Rhinolophus ferrumequinum: one gene and its partner. The protein of the gene in region 2 binds, or shares a complex with, the protein of the main gene of each other region. Links are inferred from orthologs where the notes say so. Each region holds a gene or a part of one and is shown on either strand. Other genes may lie near its edges.

The links.
Region 1: the proteins of ALB (region 2) and FCGRT are in contact, whole or in part, in a crystal structure (PDB 6QIO), measured with the Homo sapiens proteins. The link is inferred for Rhinolophus ferrumequinum from reciprocal best matches to the Homo sapiens genes ALB and FCGRT. Residues at the interface, in NP_000468.1 of Homo sapiens: Arg105, Glu106, Thr107, Tyr108, Gly109, Glu110, Asp113, Asn133, Asn135, Gln441, Ser443, Pro445, Thr446, Glu449, Leu484, Leu487, His488, Thr491, Pro492, Val493, Tyr521, Val522, Pro523, Lys524, Thr530, Phe531, Thr532, Phe533, His534, Asp536; in NP_001129491.1 of Homo sapiens: Arg65, Glu67, Glu69, Gly72, Ala73, Val75, Trp76, Gln79, Val80, Ser81, Trp82, Trp84, Glu85, Lys86, Thr89, Arg92, Asn172, Lys173, Leu175, Thr176, Leu179, Phe180, His184, Glu188, Arg192, Gly195, Asn196, Trp199, Lys200, Glu201.

The regions. Positions count from the first base shown.
Region 1 is NC_046298.1:44,647,851-44,658,913, forward strand, and holds the start of FCGRT (IgG receptor FcRn large subunit p51), read left to right. Parts: upstream 1-6,895; 5' UTR 6,896-6,958; intron 6,959-7,150; exon of another isoform or gene 7,151-7,299; intron 7,300-7,773; 5' UTR 7,774-7,787; coding exon 7,788-7,860; intron 7,861-8,220; coding exon 8,221-8,475; intron 8,476-8,595; coding exon 8,596-8,871; intron 8,872-11,063. UniProt on the Homo sapiens protein: Cell surface receptor that transfers passive humoral immunity from the mother to the newborn. Binds to the Fc region of monomeric immunoglobulin gamma and mediates its selective uptake from milk.
Region 2 is NC_046288.1:30,503,805-30,513,974, forward strand, and holds the start of ALB (albumin), read left to right. Parts: upstream 1-6,092; 5' UTR 6,093-6,141; coding exon 6,142-6,220; intron 6,221-6,916; coding exon 6,917-6,974; intron 6,975-7,810; coding exon 7,811-7,943; intron 7,944-9,355; coding exon 9,356-9,567; intron 9,568-10,089; coding exon 10,090-10,170. UniProt on the Homo sapiens protein: Binds water, Ca(2+), Na(+), K(+), fatty acids, hormones, bilirubin and drugs. Its main function is the regulation of the colloidal osmotic pressure of blood. Major zinc transporter in plasma, typically binds about 80% of all plasma zinc.

The DNA of each region.
Region 1 (11,063 bases), on a different chromosome or scaffold from region 2:
TATGGTGTGGAATACTGGGTTTACCATATAGCAAGCTCTGGTGATTTGTCACGGGATCTTGAGTCTATTTTAGCATGCTTCTGGAATGTTCTGTGGCATGCCTCTTGTAGAAGGCCCCAGTGGCATGGCCATTTCACAGGGAAATTAGCTCCAGGCACAGTTTCATAGAAGGGCCCTGGGTTTACGAGGACAGCAGGCATCAGGACTATGACATGAAAACAGGGTGGCCCTTGGTATCGTAATGTATCATGGCTCCGCACTTATCATAGCAGACCACAGGAAAATTCTGTTACAGCCAGACTGACAATCACTGTTGCAGTCCCCTGGGGAGTCCTATTAGAGCAGGACATAGTTATATGGATTATAGTGGGACCTCAGGTCCTGTAATATTCCCTGTTGGTGGTTGCACTACCTGGGTTACATGATAGCTGGCCCATGGGTATTATTTGTGGAGCAGCCACCTGAATTCATTTAACTGGTCCCGAGGGCTGTGAGGGGAGCCTAGGCAAATTAAATTGGAGTGACCTCTGTGAGTGTGAGGTGACCTGCGTGAGTGCGCAGACCTGCAGATCATTTCACAGTGGGTATAGACTCTTCTGGAACATTCTAACAGGACACCAACGCCATTCTAGAAGAGTTTTAGGGATGTATCAAACGAGCCCAGGGTCATTCATTATTGCCGTCATTCATTCTGCAAATATTTACTATGCTGACTCTTGGGATGCAAGAGTGAGCAAGACAGATCCAGGGCCTGATGTCTGAGAGCCTACTAGTATCTAGAGTGACCTGGAGGACGTTAACAGCAGCCTGGGATGAGCGGGAAGCATCTAGAGGAATAAGTGCTACTTCTGTGCCCTACTATATGCCTTGTGCAAACCTGAACTCGATAAAGCTTCTCTGTTGAGGTAGGCACAATTATCCCCACTTCACAAAGAAACCAAGGTTCAGAGAATCCTACCTAGAAAAGGTAGGATTTGGTTTTGAAATTAGGTGTGGTTGCCTCCCGGGGTGCGTAGGGGGCGCTACAGCGTAGGTGCAGAGGGGAGGAGTGGATGTTAAGGTCGCAATTCAGGAAGCATTACTCAGAGCTGACTGAGGCCATTTATGGTGCACGGACCCCAGGGGCCAAGGTGCCTTCGTGGGCGAGCTCCCTCTGCAGGCTGAGCCATTGCTCGAAAGGGACCTGTGTTTGGTTTAATACTCTGCTTGAACCATGTTGAAACTGGAACAAGGGGCCCTACATTTTCCTTTGGCATTGCACCCAAAGGATTAGTAACTGGTCCTGCCACCAGGCAAGGGAGGGCATCCTCTGTGACTGTGATAGGCTAGATAATGGTCTCCCAAAGATGTCTATGCCCTATTCCCCCAAAACCTGTGAATATATGATTTTATAATATATGATAAAAGGGACTTTGCAGATGTGATTAATTTCAGGATCTTGAGATGGGAAGATGATCCTGGATTACCCAGGTGGGATAAATGTTATTATAAGGGTCCTTATAAGAGGGATACAAAAGGATCAGAGTCAGAGGTAGAAGGACAGACACAGGGGTCAAAGAGGAGAGAAGATGCTAGTTTTGAAGATGGAGGAAGGGTCCATAAGCCAGGGAATGCAGGTAGCCCCAAGCAGCTTGAAAAGACCAGGAAATGAATTCTCCCCGGAAGCCTCCAGCAGAAAGCAGCCCTATGGACTTCCGGTCTCCAGAGCTGAACAATAATCCATTTGTGTTGTTTTAAACCACTAAGTTTATGGTAATTGGTTACAGGAGCCATAGGACACTAATAAAATGATCCAGGGCCCTGCAGATGGCTGCTGAAGCGGGATCCCAGGATGCCTGGGTGAAAGCCTGCGGGAATTTTCCCAGAACCCCCTGTAGGACACTGATGTTTCCGGGGACACGGAATAGCAGGCCCCTGGACTCTTAACAGGAACCTAAAGACTTCATGGTAGAGCTAAGAGGCATTATACTAGGGTTCTGGCAGGACCCAGACGGATTTAGAGGGGACACCCTGAGGCCGTTTTAATTACATGAAGTAGGACTGCACCCATTTCAGCAGGATCCAGGGGACCTTCTGAGTGCTCAGTGGGGGAATATTGTAGGGTCTGGGGACATATTTTATCAGGAATCAAAGAACTCAGTGGGCTGTAGAGTGCTGAGAGGTGTTGAAGTGACAGCCGATGGAACATTGTAGCAGGACCAAGGACACCTAGAAGAGATATCCAGAGATGGGTAAAGCAGGACCTGAAGAACAGTTGAGAAAAACATAAGCATTACAGTAGGACCTGGGGCCTTAGAAGACGTGGGGCCACTGGAAAAGGCCCAGGGGCAGTGCACCAGCGTCCTGGGAGGAGTATGGGGACAGGAATCCAAGGACTTGTCATCAGAGCTCTCGTGGCATTATTTTAAGGTCCTAGGCAATAGAGAAGAATCCTAGGGGTGTGTTTTAACCATTAGAGGAGGACCCAGGGAATCGAAAGGGGACACACAGAGCCATGGGGTGGGATCTCAGGGCCATTTCTTTAGTAAGGTCTCAGGTCCCTTACGGTGGGGACCTCTGGGATGAGGGAGCAGCAATCTAGCTGGTCAAGGGGGCATGATAGCAAGTTCCTTGGAAATGTGGAAGGTTTCTTACAGGCTAGGAGAGATTTTATAGCAGGTCCTGGAGGGTCTAATTGTTTCTTTCTTTCTTTCTTTTTTTTTTTTTAAGATTTTATTGGGGAAGGGGAACAGGACTTTATTGGGGGAACAGTGTGTACTTCCAGGCCTGTTTTTCCAAGTCAAGTTGTTGTCCTTTCAATCTTAGTTGTGGAGGGTGCCGTTCAGCTTCAAGTTGTCCTTTCAGTCTTAGTTGTGTCGGGCGCAGCTCAGCTCCAGGTCCAGTTGCCATTTTTTTCTAGTTGCAGGGGGCGCAGCCCACAATCCCTTGTGGGCGTTGAACCGGCAACCTTGTGGTTGAGAGGATGCGCTCCAACCAACTGAGCCATCCGGGAGCTCAGTGGCAGCTCAGCTCAAGGAGCCGTGTTCAATCTTAGTTGCAGGGGGCGGAGCCCACCATCCCTTGAGGGAGTCGAGGAATTGAACTGGCAACCTTGTGGTTGAGAGCCCACTGGCCCATGTGGGAATCGAACCGGCAGCCTTCGGAGTTAGGAGCATGGGGCTCTAACCACCTGAGCCACCGGGCTGGCCCTAATTGTTTCTTTCTTTTTCTTTTTTTTCTATTGAGTTTTCTCTCTGTATATCTATGTGTTTGTCTGTCTGCCTACCTACCTACCTACCTACCTCCCTCCCTCCCTCCCTACCTACATATCTCTTTGTGTCTGTGTAGTGCAGGGGATCCTGCCGACTTCGCCATGTGTCATGCAGGGTGTCATGCGGGGTCTCTGGTCCCACTCCCCACATAAGAATGCAGGACATAGTGAGGCCAAAAAGGAACACCCACGGAGCCATAGGTAGGGGAGTCACACCACTATACTCTCCCTGGCGGCTGGGTTGGAGACACAGGAAACAGGAGCCACACAATTCTCAACCCTCACTGCTCCATTGCAGGCTCAGCCACCATCTTCTTGCTAGCCCCCATTCTCTGCTAGCCTAGCCACGGCAGTTATATTAGTGGCCAATGGCTCACTGGTTACAGCTGACAGCCAACTAGCCACAGCTGATGGCCATTTGATCACAGTCAACGGCCATTTACTACCTGAGCCAGCACCTTTCTATGTGAGGCCGAGAGCCTGGAAACTGCTTTTTGGGGCTCTGTCCCCACAGTCTGTTTATACATGTTTCATAGGACAGGGCAGGACAATAATAGAGAGAACCCAGGTGGGGTTTGGGGAGTCCCACTCAGCTTTACAATGGAAACTGAAGGAATTAAAACAGGTTTGGTGGCAGGAGCAGGGGCCTGGGGCTTAGGGCCTTCTGTGGCCATTCTGTGAGGTCTCAGGACTCATTTATCAGGATCCCAGAGAGGGGGTGGCCCACTCTGCGGGACATTAGTGGAGGCTCCTAAAGACGTTATCGCCGTGTCTCAGGATACTCACAGGGACCCAAGGAGCATGGGGGTGGGGTTCTGAGATTATCAGAGACCCAGGGACAGGGTGGGGCCTCTGGCAAAAGTCCCGGAGGACTCAGGGGCACTGGAGTTCAACTGAGTTAATACAACAGTCATGAGGGGTGCAATGGGGCCCTAGGGTGATGGTTTTCAAGCTTCAAGGAAAAGTATAGCAGAGTCCTGGGGCCCTGTCACAGGACATTGGGTACTTTATATCAGGGTCCAAGGAACATCATAGTAGGGTCCTGAGGGCCTTTAAAATGAGAGCCCAGGGGCTGCTGGAATAGTGTCTCAGAGACAGCTGAATCCCAAGGGACACAGAAGGGACAGCTGGGCATGGCAGGCTCTTCAGTGTATTTTAGGAAAGAGCTAACGGTGCTGTAATAGGGCTCACAGGATATGAAAGTATGATCCTTCAGTGTCATTATACGCAGCCCCTTCGGGTGGGTCTATGAATAACCTAGCAGAACCCAGAGAGAATAATGAAAATCAACAGAGGTTCTTCAATAAGGCGAACACAAACACCATCGGTAGTGGTTCATTTCATGTGTCAACTTGGCTGGGCTGTAGTGCACAGCTGTTTGGTCCAACATTACTCTAGATGTTTCTGTGAGGGCGTTTTTGGATGACATTTACACTGAAATCAGTGGGCTTTGAGTAAAGGAAGCTGGCCTCCATAATGTGAGTAGGCCACATCTAAACAGCTGACAACATAAATGGAAGAAAAAACAGACCTCTCCCAAACAGGAAAGAATTCTGCCAGCAAATACCTTTGAACTTCATCTGCTAGATCAGCTCTTCCTGGTTCTTCCTGCTTTTGGACTTGAGCTGCAGCTCCTTCCTGAATCCCCAGCTTGGTCTCCACCCCTATTAGATTTTCAACTCAGCACAATCATGTGAGCCAATTCTTTGAAGTAAGTGTCTTTCTATGTATGTATATAAACATCCTGTTGGTTCTGTTTCTCCAGAGAACCCTGACTAACACATCATATGACCTCGTAATTCCATTCCCGGGTATATACCCAAAAGAATTAAAAACAGTTGTTTAAAAAAACCCCAAAAACATACATAATGCTCATAGCAGCATTATTTATAATATCCAAAAAGTAGAAACAACCCAAAACGTCCATCAATGGATGAATGGATAAAGAAAAGGTGATAGATCCAAACAATGGAATATTATTCAGCCATAAAAAGGAATGAAGTGGTGATCCATGCTACAACATGGTTAAATCGTCAAAACAATACGCTAAGTGAAAGAAGACAGACACAAAAGGCCACAATATTGTATGACCCCATTTATATGAAATATGCAGAATAGGTAAATCCATAGAGACGGTGGTTGCCAGGGGCTAGGAGGAGGAGGGGCTGCTTGATGAGTACGGGGTTTCTTTTGGGGTGATGAAGAAGTTCTGGAACTAAAATGCACTAAATATCATTAAATGGTAAATCTTATGTTTTGTGCATTTTAAAATAAAACAAATGAATGGAAGCAGTGTAGCAGGAGTGTGAGCTGGGGGCGGGTGACTGGAGGGGGCCTCTAAGCCTGATAGTCGTACATTGGTGTGCCTTGGTATCTGTGGGGGAATTAGTTCCAGGACCCCCCTGCAGATACCAATATATGTTACTACACTCTTGTAAAAGTGTAGTAACATATATTGGAACTCTGTGCTGTGGAGGTCCTATCAGAAGACATTAAAGAACCACAAGGGCTCATTACCAAAAGGTTTGTGGGCAATACTATACTTGAGGTCACTGTAGAAAAGACATCCTAGGGAATGAGAGTGGCAAGGCTTCAGAAATAGGCTGATTTGGAGCGGGCCTGGCGGCTCAGGTGGTTAGAGCGCTGTGCTCCTAATGCTGAGGTCGCCAGTTCGATTCCCACATGGGCCAGTAAGCTGCGCCCTCTACAGCTAAGATTGTGAACAACAGCTCTCCCTGGAAGCTGGGCTCCTGTGTGCTGCTGCCCTGGGCCACATGTGCTGCTATGAGCCACTGGTGGCGAGTGTGAGTGGCCCGCAGGCTGTGAAGGCCGACTGATGACCGGCAACCGACTGCCTCAGCCTAGGGTGGGGAGGGGAAGCGCACATAATACCAGCATGGGCCAGGAAGCTGTGTCCTGCACAACTAGACTGAGAAACAAGGGCTTGAACCCAAGTGGGGATAGGGGGAGGCGGAAAAAGGGGGAAAAAAAATAGGCTGATTCGGATTCGTGGTATAAAACTTCAGTATAACGGTAGTTTGCCAAGTTTACTTCAGTTCACAATGTAAGGTATTTCAAATAAATTCTTGTTCATTTTGCATGGAAAATTGATACTAGGACTAGTCTACAGTTCTTTGCAGTTTTTGCTTTCGTGAAGAAATTATAAGCTAGGCACAGCGTTTGTGTTCTGGTTTGAAGCAACTTTAGAACCACAGGAAGTGTCTTTTTGGAGATGGGTGACTTCAGTTTGTTAATATTTCTGCCTTTTTGGTATTTGAGCAGATTTCATGTGTTGTCTCCTCCTCTGCTTTATTTTACTTATTTATTTCTACCATACAAAGCTTTATTTCTATTGCTTATATCATAATAGTTGTATAAAAGCTTTTGTTTTGCATTCATCACATCATTTGTTAGAAGAGGAATCTTTGTCCATTTTGCTTTGCACCAGTAGCCTGTTGTGCCCATTCAGTATTTGGTGCATAATTGGACCTTAAATTAAAAAATGTAAATAAAGTTTTTCATCTATAATGCTTTTATACAAAGCTTTTACTTTACAAAAAAAAAATATTTTGTTTAAAAAAAAAAAAGGGGAACTGCAAGGGCACTTTAAGGCGACACTTGGGGGAGGGGTTCCAAGAAGGAAACACAGGATCTAGAGACCTTTCTTTGTAGCAGGAGCTAGTGAAGGCCTTGTGGAGGGTAAATGAGGTAAGAAGGGGAACCCACAGTGACCTCCGAATTTTGCACTCTGATAGTGCTGGTTTCTATTCCCAACTTTGTCACGAATTCGCTGGCTGGCTGATACCCTCAAAATGAAAACAACAACAGAGAAAGAGACCCAAAAAAATCGACGAAAGTTTTCAAGAGAGCAGCAGAGACATATTCAGAGAGTCTGGGCCCAGGGCCCAGGGTGTGCCCTGCAGCTGGGGGGCGGAGTTGTATATTCCCAGTGCCGGGGAACAATCTCCGGACAGGATGTGAGAGAGGAACTGGGGTCTCCAGTCACGGGAGCCAGCTGGGGCTGCAGGCGGGAAGGGATCGCGGCTGCTGTGAGCAGAGCTGGGGCCCGGGCCCCGAGGGAGGACGGGCTGGGGTCCGGGCTCCTGGGGCCAAGGGACGAGGGACTGGGGCCCGGACTCTCGAGTCTGAGGGAGGAGGGGCTGGGGGCCCGGACTCCTGGGTCTGGAGGAGGAGGGGCTGGGGCTGGGACTCCTGGGTCCCAGACAGGAGGAGGAGGAGGAGGAGGAGGAGGAGGAGGAGGAGGAGGAGGAGGAGGAGAAGGAGGCGGGGATGAGCTCCGAGAATGAAATTTCAGCCTATCCAGGCTCTGTAATTAATTAACCAACATGGATCAAATTAAGGGGTGAAAGTTCATTGAGGCGTAGGGCATTGTTGTCACTCTCCTGGAAGGAGCCCCGAACCCACACCCACAGGCGTCGGCGTGGTGGCGGAGCCCAGCGGAGCTGGGGGAGGAAGGCGTGGGCCGGGGGTCCGGAGGAGTCACGCGCCTCCTCCCGCCCCAGGTCTCCCTCTCAGGATGCGGGTCCCCCGACCAGTGCCCTGGGGGCTTTGTCTCCTGCTGTTCCTCCTGCCCGGGACGCTTCGCGCAGGTGAGAGGTGCTCAGTCGGGGCTGCTGGGGTGGAGGGAGGTGCCCCCCGCCGGGAAGGAGAGGACGAAGCGAAATCTGCGGTTTCCGTCGAGCCAACATTTTCCCCTTCCCTGTATTTCATTTGGTTTATGATTTTCTCCTTCTTCGCTCAGTGTGTCTGGGAAGCACCTGTCCCCCTGTCTCCAGATCCCTGTCCCCCTCTCTCTGAGTCTTTGTGCCCCCATAGCTGAATCTGCCCACTTTCTCAGAGTCTGTCCCCTCTGTCCGGGGTCGAGTCCTTCCTCTCTCCCGGTGTCTCTCTTGCTCCCTGTCTAGATACCTCCGGCCCCATCTGCTGCATTCACCTCTGTCTCTCTCCAGCAGACAGCCATCGCTCCCTCTTGTACCACTTCACCTCCGTGTCCTTTCCTGCCCCGGGGACCCCTGCCTTCTGGGTATCAGGTTGGCTGGGTCCACAGCAGTACCTGAGCTACAATAACCTGCGGGCCCAGGCTGAGCCGTACGGGGCTTGGGTCTGGGAAAACCAGGTGTCCTGGTATTGGGAGAAAGAGACGACGGACCTGCGGAACAAGCAGAAGCTTTTCCTGGAAGCTCTCACGGTCTTGGAGGAAGGAGGCAAGACTTGGATTCCTGGGTCTGAGGGCTGAGGACCTGGGGGCTGGACTCCTGGGTCTGACAGACAAGGGGGTGGGCCCCTGCTCCTGGGCCATGCTCACCTGTGTGTCGGTACCCCAGGTTCCTACACCCTGCAGGGCCTGCTGGGCTGTGAGTTGGGGCCTGACAATGCCTCTGTGCCTGTGGCCAAGTTTGCCCTGAATGGCGAGGAGTTCATGAAGTTCGACCCCAAGGTGGGCACCTGGATTGGAGACTGGCCTGAGGCCAAGAGCATCAGTGACAAGTGGACGCAGCAGGCGGAGGTGGTCAACAAGGAGAAGACCTTCCTGCTGTACTCCTGCCCCCAGCGCCTGCTGGGCCATCTGGAGAGAGGCCGTGGAAACCTGGAGTGGAAGGGTGAGCAACCTCCCGAAGAATCTCAGACCCCGGTGGATCTCTCCGTTCCCCATGGCCCCACCTTAGGCCTCGTCCTCTTCCCCAGCCTCCTCCCTGGCCTCCTGACTTCCAATCTCCCCTCTGCAGCTTATCCCCCACACGTCCCAGGGGGTCTTTCTACCCCCAGAGCTGACCCTGCCCCTCTCCTGCACACAGCCCTCCCATGGCTTCAAGAGCCCTCAGAACACAGCTCAAGCCCCTCACCCTGGCATCGAGGCGCCGTGTGGCATGGCCTCTGTCCCTCTCCTCAGCCTCACATTTCTCCATCTGCCCCACTCAGTCAAAAGGAATCACCTAGAGTTCCTTGAGCTCATGCCAACCCTCCCATTTCTTCCCTTCTGCCATTCTCCTTCCAGTTCCCGTGGTGTCACAGCCAGGGAGATTTCTCTGGCCCATAAGGCTTTCACTTGCCTCTTGGGGCTCCCACAATGCCTTGTGTGACCTCTGTTACAGCACATGTCATTCTGATCTATAATGATGTGGATGTTTGGGGAATTCTCAAGGGCTGGAATTACCATGTTTCCCCAAAAATGAGACCTAGCCAGACAATCAGCTCTAATGCGTCTTTTGGAGCAAAAATTAATATAAGACCTAGTATTATACTATATTACATTATATTACATTACATTATATTACATTACATTATATTATATTGTAAGACCCGGTCTTATATTATAGCAAAATAAGACCAGGTCTTATATTAATTTCTGCTCCAAAAGACACATTAGAGCTGATCGTCCGGCTAGGTCTCATTTTCGGGGAAACACGGTAGAGCTCTTTTGTCCTCAGTGTCCCCCCCTACCTTGCAATCCCAGCTTCCATCTCTGCCCCCAATGCAGACCATGTTTTGAAATGTAAACGAGCTCCCATCCCGCCATTTCTTAAAACAATCCAAATAGCTTCCCACTAGTCTTGGACTAAAACCCAAACTCTACTCTGTGGCCCACAAGCCCTGCGTGGTCTGGCTGCTTTCCGCCACTGTAATTTCACAACATCCCTGCTCCGGTGACCTTCTCCCGGTCCTCCAACATGTCTGATTCTTTCCCTCCTCAGGACCTTTGCACATGCTGTTCCCTGTGCTTGTGATTGTCTTCCTTGGGATCCTGCCATGACTGGGTTCTTCTCATGCCTTTAGGTTGGATCCTGGATGGGGGCTCTTCAGCAGGGCCCTCCCTGACCACCCTGACTAACGTGTGCCCCCATGCCACTGCCATTATTGTCTCTCATGCCCCTGTTTTGTCTGTTCAATCATTACAGTATCTCTAATTTAAAAGTTTTTCTTATTGAGGTGTAACTTACCTACCTAAAGTACATAGCTCGATTAATTTTTATATGTGCTCATGTACTTGCCCTCCAGATCAAGATCTAGAACATTTCCATCACCCCAGAAGATTTCCTTGTGTCCCCTCCCATTGCATACCCCCCCAAGGGTAACAACTAACCTAACTTCTATTACCATAGTGTTGCCTGATTTTGAACTTCATACAGTTATGAGCATGTGCTTGTTTGTGTCTCGCTTCTTTCATTCAAGCTCGTGTCATGAGACTATTGTTCCATCCGTCTGTCAGCAGTTTATTCCTTTTACTGCTGAGTAGTATTTCATTGCCTGGTTCATACCACAGTTTTTCAGTGAATGGTTTATTTTCACTGAAAAGATTGGGGCTATTATGGGTAAAGCTGCTATGAACATTCTTTTACATGTCTTTTGATGAATCTGTATTTTCATTTATTTTGACTAAACACCCATAAGTGGAATTGTTGTGTCATAGTGTAGGCATAAGATTAGCTTTAGTAGGTGGTATTAAACATTTTCTCAAAGTGGTTGGACCAGTTTTATACTCTCACCAGCCATGTACATAAATTCCATTGGTTCACAGGCTTGCCAGAATTTGATGCTGTCTGTCTTTAATTTTAACCATTCTCGTGGGTTACGTGTAGTGGTATCATATTGTGATTTCACTTTTCATTTATCTGATGATAAATGAAAATCCGATAAATGATTTGATAAAATCAGATACATGATTTAATGACTTGCTATGTTGAGTACTTTTTCACGTTATTGGCCAGTTGGATGTCTCCTCTTTTGGAGTAGCTTTTTGATTCCTTTATCCATTTATTTATTTATTTCAACATTTTTTATTGGTTTCAGGTAT
Region 2 (10,170 bases):
TGTTGCTAGGACTATTACATTAGGTCCCTGACGACTCTTTCTATATATACTCTTGCCCTCTCTAGTCTCTTCAACCGCACTGCATCCAAAGTCATCTTTCTGAAGCATAAATCAGATTATGCTACTGGGCAAATAAAAGTTGTTCAACTTCTTCTCAATGCTTTTAGAATAAAGACCAAAAATACCTACTGTAGCTAAGACGATATGCAACGTCATTTACTCTCATATCTCATCTCACACTCTGCTGCTTCCTCCTAATCTGTGTCTAGACTTTTTCTTTCATGCTCTTTCTTGCCTCAAGCATTTGTATATACTGTCCCCTGGGACTGGAAGGTTCACTTCCTTCAATACTCATGCCCATTTAAAACATTCTCAGTTTAAAAATCATGTCCCCAGGGAAGCCCTCTTAGACTTCTAGGCCCATGGTATTTTAAACAAATGCGGCTTGAATCAGGAACGCTGTTTCATCACCATTTGGGTGGCCTGCCAATTTTGTTAATCATCTTAGATAAACTATTTCCCCATGGAACTTTGGGAGCTTTCTACAATGACAATATCTTTCTTTGGGTCTTGTAATATTAAAATAACAATTCTCATTCTTAGCTTTGCCTGAAAATACAAATTATTGCAAATTCTGCTTTTCTTTTCTCCTTCCTGCCAGCTTGTCTTTCTTTTCTTTTTTACTCCTACAGGGAGTTCCATTGTCTTATAAATAGGTTCTCTTTGCTTTCTGTATTTTGGTCTTTTATCAAATATTTAGAAATTACATGTCTTCATACATGTACTTCCCTCAGTCCTCTACCTGTTCATTCCATTTCAACAGGCAAAGTTCCTTCCCAAGCAAAAATGAATCCAGAAATAGAAATGTGAAGATTTACAGTCTGTTGAGTTGTATAGGTAGCTAATAAGGTTAGAGTCCATACATCTTATTAAAGATTGCCCTTGGATTTAGAGCTTCTCCACTATTACTTCTTTATCACCCCAGGGATACCTTGTATTCCACATGCACAGTAATTTATCATATTGCAGTAAAATTATCTTTCTATGTGTTCACCTCTGCTAAGAGACTGTGGGCTCATTGAAGTGAGGGACTGTGTCTTGTTAATCTTTTATATCCTTATCGCTTAGTAAATGCTTGGCATTTAGTGGGCAGTCAATAAGCTTTGAGCATGAATGAAAGACTAGGTGGTGCTACTTAAAATAAGTATGAAACCTGGATTGTGCCCTGTCAGCAAGAACATTGGTGTTCTTAAATAAATAGAGGGGTTGTTGATGCCAGAACAGTGTTTGCTTTAGATCCTATCATTCTTGATGTGTATTTTTGGCCAATTTTCCAACAGAAAGAAATTTGCATTTGTCAATAACATTCATTTGCCTTCAAGACATTAAATACTGAGAGGCTAATTTATATAATTTTAATGAATGAATAAATATCTAGTGTAAATATAAAATTAAGATTGATTTGAAATAGTAGTTGTATGTATTTCATCTAGTAATTTAAGCTATTGGTGTTAAATATACTGAATATCCCACAACTGTGAATCAGAAACATTTTGTAAAGCGAGTACCATTGTCAGCATCATATGTTACTGAAGTTACGTCTTTATGCTGTTTGAGTGCGTATTTTAGTTGCAACACATTATTATTAAATGAACTATTTTTGCAAACAAAACTTTCAAACTTGTAAATATTATTCAAATAGAAGAATTTCATTTTTTCCAATGTCTATGCAATGAAAAACTAATTGAAAAATTCAGTGCTTATATATGCAATATTAATATTTAAAAATCATTTTGAAAACATTTACATTATATACTTTATTATCATTTTGCTAGAAATGAATTTCTTTCAAATAAAAAAGAATACAGGTCAATTATTTATTTGTTACATTTCTTGAAGTTACAGTTATTTTGGATGAAATAATTAATTTCTTGATGTTAGCCCATACATAGATGCTTGAAAAACTGATGAGAATTTCAAGACTTAAATTGCAAGACTCAGTTGGGTGTCAGGCTGGAAATTTTTAGCTGAAGACTGGCACTAAGAGATTACAAAACATCTAATAAAATCTAAGCGTTAGAAGACATCAAGGAGAAAAATAATTTATCTTCTAATAAAAATTTTCTAACCTTGATCCATTGAAGTTTTACACAGGAATATTTTAGCTACACAACCTTTATTATTTTACAAAATTTAAAAAAAACCATTCAATTTTGTAAATTTAAATTCACCTCCTCTAGTAGTAAGTCTGTTGAATTACATTTGGAAAAATACAGAATATGAACAGACTAAGAATTATTAAACTCTCAGCAGCATATTCATTTCTGTTTGATTTCCATTTGTAGCTATTATTATGAGAGAGGAGTTAGTAACGTTAATTTCAACTTATTTGTTTATGGATATAACAACAGCTATTTGTTGTTAACATATGAAGAATGGATACACATGAATTTTATGCATTAGTTGCATTTTTCTTGGATTGGAAAACTGATAAAGATATGCTACAGTGTCATTTTATTTATATAGTTTAGATGTGTTTAAACGACCTTTTTATTTTTTAAAAAATGTTAACCTGAACTATTAAGTTGGTGCAAAGTAATTGCGGTTTTTGCAATTATTTTTAACCTTTTAAATCGTAATTACTTTTGCACCAACCTAATAGGTAGTGAGTAATGTCTGAGGAGCTGTTGGGTAGCTCAGCAATGACGAAATTCTCAAATTTGGATTCCAGTTTCCTAACTTGATACAGGTTTCCCCCACTATCTGAAAGTATGCTATGCCCATGAAATCTTTTGTAAGCCAAGCTGGTGTAAAGTGAAGAAGCAATTACCATTAATTTATGTGTAAAAAATTTGAATGTTTTCAGACCCCAAATTCAACAGGCAAGATGTCTTTTCTTTGTTCACCACAATTGAAACATCCAGCTTGATTACATCCAGTTTTCTGCCATAACACCCTTACGAGCTCTCTTAGATTTTTCTGATACCTTGGGACAGAGCTTGCTAATGGATACACAAAATAAATCAAGGTACAGCACACGTGCTCACAGACACAGTTCAAAGCGATGGCAGCTTGATGCTGAGATGCTGAGCGTGGTTCCTGGGGAAGGAGCTGGCGGGGCCACTCTCCCCACTCAGGGTGCCTGTTGCCTATATAATGGCTCGCTGTACAACGAATGCTGAACGCTATTTTCACTTTTGACCTTTTTTTTTCATAAAAGCAAAAGTCATCTTCAGATTTCTTTCAGTTATCAAAAACAGGTACCAATGTAGGTCTTTTGCGAAAGCGAAGTGGCGTAATGCAAACTTTTGAAAAGTGGGGGATACCTATATATTCATTCTACCAGCCAGACCCTATTCTCATTCTATAGGACTGTTATGTTGGGAATATGGAATTATAGAATGTTCAAGGTAAAAGGTCCTTAAAAATAATTTAACCCAACTTGACCTATATGGCAAGGAGATATATATACAGACCGCAGGTTTGAGTTTGGAGCTAGAAATTGACAATGAGCTGAATTAAACTGCATAGTAAAGAGTTGAGAAATTTGAAGTAAATGGTTTGGATATCTGAGAAGAAGTAGATGAAAATTCCAGAGGTCCAGTGTAACATGAAGAAAGGAAGAAAAAGGGACCCTCCTGCCATGGGAGATTTGGAGAGAGGGACTTAAGAGATAGGACAAGCCGAAGATGGTGATTTAGTGTGTTTTTATAATGTAAACTTCTTCTTCTGTCCCTTATGAAATCCTCAGCAATTCTATATTTATCACTAATGCAAGTGGGTATTTTGGAGGGATGACTTATGGAAGGAAATGAGAGGACAATTGATATTTGGATTACATTACTATTTCTTTATTTGCATTGGAAATGCCTGTGTAAGTTCATACATTTTGGACAATTTGTTTTCTTATTGTTTTAAAGGGAACTGTATCTTCACAAGTAAATAAAAAAATTAAATTGCTCACCATGTTTCAATTGGTTAGTTTGATGCTTAGCAGTCTTTCATTTTTCTACCCTTCTGTATTTTGTAGAAAAAAGTCCATGCCCTTCATGACAGGTAGGATCTGCATATGTCCACAGCATTGTAGGAAGAATGCTAAAAAAGGATTTTCCTGTCCTTAATTTTCTTTCCAAAGGATTCCAAATTTCTCGAGTTTTGGAATGACTTTGCCTTCAGTGGTTATCACTGGAAAGTCTCTGTTACAATACTGTGGATGTTATTAGACACAGGTATCTCATTGTTAAGCATATATTTCACTTTATTTCTAAGAGAAGGTGACTCAGAAGTCATAATCTATCACAGAAGGAGACGGCATGAAGGCTGGATCAAGTTGATGACCAAATGGAGAAAAACCTGCTTTGAATGATTTGGTGAGAAGCTTCCGGAATCCAGAGGGCAGAGGAGGGTGTAGTTTTAAGGTTATGATTAGGGTGGTAAGGAAGTGGGAGACTGGTCCAAAGAGATATTTCATCTGCTTCAAAATGATGCCTTTTCTACTGTCCAAATGAATGCAAAGCAAAGGACAAAAGGGATAAAACTCAGGTTTAATTCCCTGTTATATTTATATCTCAATTAGGTATTTTTTCTCTTCTAAATGATCAGCACACTACTATTCTTTCCATATGAAATAATTTTCTTAACTACTCTCTTTTTAAACTTCTCCCATAAAATGAAAATACATTTAAAAAATCACTGGAGCTAGTTTACTATTTACTTAAAAAACTAGATTCTGTAAGCCATATTTATAACTCTTGATTTAAAATGTATGCATTTACTCTCAAGCCAGAGTACTTTGGTGACTAATTAAACATAAGAGTTTAAAAATTTGAGGAACAGAATATTCAGAAAAAAACAACAATTATGTGGTTTTATTTCTCTCAATACACAGTGTGCATACAGAATTAGTAGAAGAAAAATGTGGGAATTCTTACTTTGGGAATCCACAAAATGCAAATGTTAAAGGGTTGCTTATTAAGATGGGTTTTAAGCACCCAGGTAGTGTTAAGAATTAAATATTAATTTCTCAACCATCTACTAATCTTTAATAAGGATATACACATGGAAAACACCTTATTGGTACTATGAGGAAAAGTTCAGGTGTTTCAGTTTTTATAATTGAAAGCTATGGGATGGGATCTTCTTGAAATATAGGAAAATCAATTCTCAGTTTTTAAAATCCTGATGAACTTGATTTTTTTTGGTTTTCTATATTTACCATTGTATTACAACATTATATTGCAGTGAAAAGTAGATGGAGAAACGAATATTATTCTTTTCATTTGTTACATGAAGAATATGCACAAAGTATATGTATATGTACATGACAAGGCCTAATTCTGTGAACTAGTAATACAATTACATTCAATTATAAGGATAACGTGTTTGATCAAGTCTTCCCTGGAGACTCATATAGAGGAGAGCCTAGGGTTAGACACTGACCAGACACAAGGTGCCCACTCTTTCTCTGAAGCTAAAAGAAAAGTTGACGTAATTTACCCAAAAGGGAATTATTTTCTCTGTTTAGAAAGTTAGAATGGTTTCCTTTTTGCTTTTGTAATTTAAGATTTTAGGCTTTAAAAAAATGTTTTTTTCCAATGGAAATAATTTCATAGGCAGATCTTCTTTTATTTCTGTTCATATGTGGCCTGAAGGACAAGTCTGGTTCCATTACTCATGACAAAAGGATGTATACTTGGAATTAGTAATCTATACAGTTCAGAGTTTAGCTCTCTTAGTATGTCTGATTTTCAAGCTAAGTCGTTGGTTTGCCTAATTTTTGGAAATACTGAACACTAAATTGTTCATATGGTAAATCACAGATAAAGAACATGGTAATGAATAATACGTACAGATTGTTTAAACTCTTAGGTAAAATTTGATAAGACGTTTTACATAACTTTAATGAATTGACAAGGTCTTGTGGGGAAAACAGTTCCAGATGGCAAACATACGCAAGGGATTTAGTCAAACAATATTTTGGCAAGAACATTATGAATTTTGTAATCACTTAGGAGCCAATGAAATACAAAGATTAGTCTAGTTAATAATCTACAATTATTGGTTAAAGAAGTATATTAGCACTAATTTCGCTCTATTCATCTTACCTTTTCCCTTTTTTCAAACCCACAAGCCTTTGGCACAATGAAGTGGGTAACCTTTATTTCCCTTGTCTTTTTTATCAGCTCTGCTCATTCCAGGGGTGTGTTTCGTCGAGATGCACGTAAGAATTCTATTTTTCTAATATTTAAATTTATTTTATTTTCCTAGTAAAAGAACATTTTAGTAAACTCTGTATCTTTAAAGAAGTTTCTCTTTAGCATTTATTTCTAGACTATGATGGTATTTTGTATTTGTGAACCCACAGGAATTTATCTTATTAATATATTTCTAACATCCTAAATGAAAAAAAGATGGTGAGAATTGTTTAGTAGCTATAATTTCCTTTTGCATATGAAGGAACTTAGAGTGACTTAAACTTCACAGAATGTAGTTGATGATATAATTGATAACTTCAAATTCCCAAAGCCCTATCCCAAAACACCTTGATGGGTATATAAAAACAACAAAACCTGTGTTATTAATCTTGTAAAGGGAACTTGTATTATATTCTTCCGTTCAGACTGTCTTCTCCGTAGCTGTTAATAGACACTAAGAGCATTAGATCTTATCAAAAAATGAATATACAGCTATAAATATGTAATGATTTAAATGATTTTTCAAATAGTATCATTGGTGATTGAATAGCTTCTGTTTAAAAGAAGCTATAGTTCACTGTCATCCTAATATTTTCTGTAGAGATCAGAGCTCAATATTTTAGAGCAAATGAATACTTAAGTCAAATGGAGAGACATATAAGAAGTAGTATCCTAATCAGTTGTTTTCATCAGGTTTTAAATAAATATTGTTTTTTCCCCAGCCAAGAGTGAGATTGCTCATCGGTTTAAGGATTTGACAGAAGAACATTTCAAAGGCCTGTAAGTTAAAATATTGAAGTCAAATTTAATGTTTCTAATAGCATTGGTTATTATTTTTAAATTCTTATAATCTCCTGTCATCAGAATCCAGACTCTAGAGTAGAAATTTCTGCACTGGAGAAAATATTCTATATCAGTGTTGTCCAATATGGTAGCCACTGGCCTCATGTTGTTGAGTATTTTAAATATGGCAAGTGCAATTGAGGTACAAAAATTTAAATTGTATTTAATTTTAATTTATTCAACTTTATATAGTCACATGTGGCTACTGAATACTATGCATTGGAAGATATAACTCTGGCACTTTTATTGAACCTGGATGATGGGAAAGACTTTAATATGTGGTCCCTTTTGCATCATACTTAGTTAAATTTATTTACCTAGCAAACAGATCTGTGGCTTCTTGAGAGCATTTCAGTATTTTTTAATCTATTAAAAAATGAGAAAACAATTTATTTTTTAAAGGTCATGTCATTCTATAGGCTGATTAAACGAGGTGTGTTGGGTTTTTTTTTTGGTTGTTGTTTTTTAATTTGTTTTACATAGTCAAAAGGCCTATGCAATGCCCCTTGTCTTAATGATTAGATCTGTTTAGAATACATTTTGCTTGTTAGCTATATATGTGTGCATCTACTCACGTGTAGACACATGTTTAAACATGGTGGAAATACATAACCTCTTTGCTTAGAAAGCCTCAGATGATAGCTGATGTGACTAGGCTTTCTGGATAATAGTACGATGTATAAAATATAAAACATATGCTTTTAGTCTAATATAGCAACATACTTTATATTCAAATTTTATTATACTGCATTTTACTATGTCCTTTGTTGCAGGGTGCTCATAGCCTTCTCTCAGTATCTCCAGCAGTGCCCATTTGAAGATCATGTAAAATTAGCAAATGAAATAACTGAGTTTGCAAAAACATGTGTTGCTGATGAGTCAGCTGCAAATTGTGACAAGTCCCTTGTAAGTAGTCTGATGTTGAATATTAGTTCTTCTTTTAAGTAAGCCTGAGCATTTCAAAGGGAAAACAGTCCCATTTTAGTTTTCTCAATTATTACTAAATGACCATATTTGTAAGCAACAGTCAAAAGTAGGTAGAGCCATCGTTTTTTCTGTGATAGAGACATGCTAGCTATACCCACCGTTTTAAAAACAATTCTTTCTGGAGACCACACCCAGTGGTTATCATGTATTTAAATGGAAAGCTTTTAATTTGTTAAAGTCTCTTTTAAAAATCTGAAGTTTGATTTCTCTTCATAGAGGCTAATAGTGATAGCATGTTTTTTAATCTTCAGAAAGTACTTAACTGATTTCTGCATTCATTTTGTTACCTGGGTAAAAATTATAGTATAGCTATGTATTCCTTGTTTCAGGGATATTCATATTTTTACATACAATAAAATATTGAGGTATTCATTTATTTTAAAAAATTTTGAGCTTTTGGTATTTCCAAATAGGTCTTCAATACAAAGAAAGGTTAATGTTTTCTCTTACCATTCAATCTATATATACTTTTCTGGGGGCAAGTCCATTTTTCAATTATCACTTAAGTCTTTCCTTCTCTTATTTCTCTCTCTCTCTCTCTCTCTCTCTCTCTCTCTCTCTCTCTCTCTCTCTCGATATATATATATATATATATATATATATATACACACATATACATACATATACATATATATATATATATATATATATATATATATATATATCAAGCCAGAATCAATACTTTAATTCCACACAATATAATGTCTCTAAATATGAATTTTTAAAAATGTATTTTTGAGAATTAATTCTCTCTTGAGCAGTGTATTTTCCCTGGAATTACAATTACTTTCATAATAAAAATTAATGGTGATGTAAATAATTCATTTAATGGAATGTGCTTCAAGGCAAATTCTTTATTATAATACAATAACAATTAATATATAGTATGTTGTGTTACTCCTCAGTTTTTGAATGGTATCTGCTAAAACATTGCACATCTCACAAAGAAGCAGATCAAATGAGAAGCTATCTGAATACTTTCCTCCCTAATGTGAATTCAGCTGCTACTTAGAGAATTATTTTTGCTTGATTTTTAAATTATGATTGCTCTCCTAGTCTTTAGCCTCAGGTGGAAGTTAGAATAACATTTATTCCTTATCTTTTTTGCCCTTCTGTTTTATCCACTGTAATTAATAGTGTGACAGTTAATTCTTAAAAAATTACACATAGATGGTCAAATCAAGGGACACTCTCTAAACCTGTGAAAAAAGTAGATTTTTATATGGTTTCCTAACCAAGGTTTACCAGAATATTGCATTTTTAATACTATTCTTTGGGTATAAAAAATAATATACTGCCTAGAAATTTGAAGCCTTCTGTCTTCCATTTAGCATACTCTCTTTGGAGATAAACTGTGTACAGTTGCATCTCTTCGTGCCACCTATGGTGACATGGCTGACTGCTGTGAAAAACAAGAACCTGAGAGAAACGAATGCTTCCTGAAACACAAAGATGATAACCCAAATCTCCCTGCACTGGTGAGACCAGAGCCTGATGTTTTGTGCACTGCCTTTCAGGAAAATACACAGAAGTTTTTGGGACAGTAAGTAATCAGATTTTTATGCTTCAAAATTAAAAATTATGAAATAGTTCAAGACTCACTGTAACAAAATATTTTCGACATTAAGATTTAGAAGCTTTTGTTCTAATGACAGTTTTAAAGAAGTAATATTTGATACTATAAAATTTTACATGATAAAAATTTGATCAAAGATCTTTCATTGAAACCAGATATGATCTGTAGGAAAAAAATTGAAATTGACACGTATTATAATATTATGAAGATATATGCTTAGTTATTCTCAGAATTAATTTCATTTTAGTCAATAACCTTATATCACCAATACTTAACTATTTTATGTGTGTATGTATATATAATTTATATATATGTTTAACTTTTTCATTGACTTGAAGAATGATAAAGGCAAGATCATCATGTGTAAATGGAGCTTAATTGGTAAATGAGATGTCTTTGGGTTTGGGGGAAAATATTGATTACAATTGTTCCTGTAATACTATTTGCTATAGGAATATTAACTCCCTGTTCTTCTTTTTTAAAATGTAGGTACTTATATGAAGTTGCCAGAAGAAATCCTTACTTTTATGCCCCAGAACTCCTTTACTATGCTCAAAAATATAAAGACGT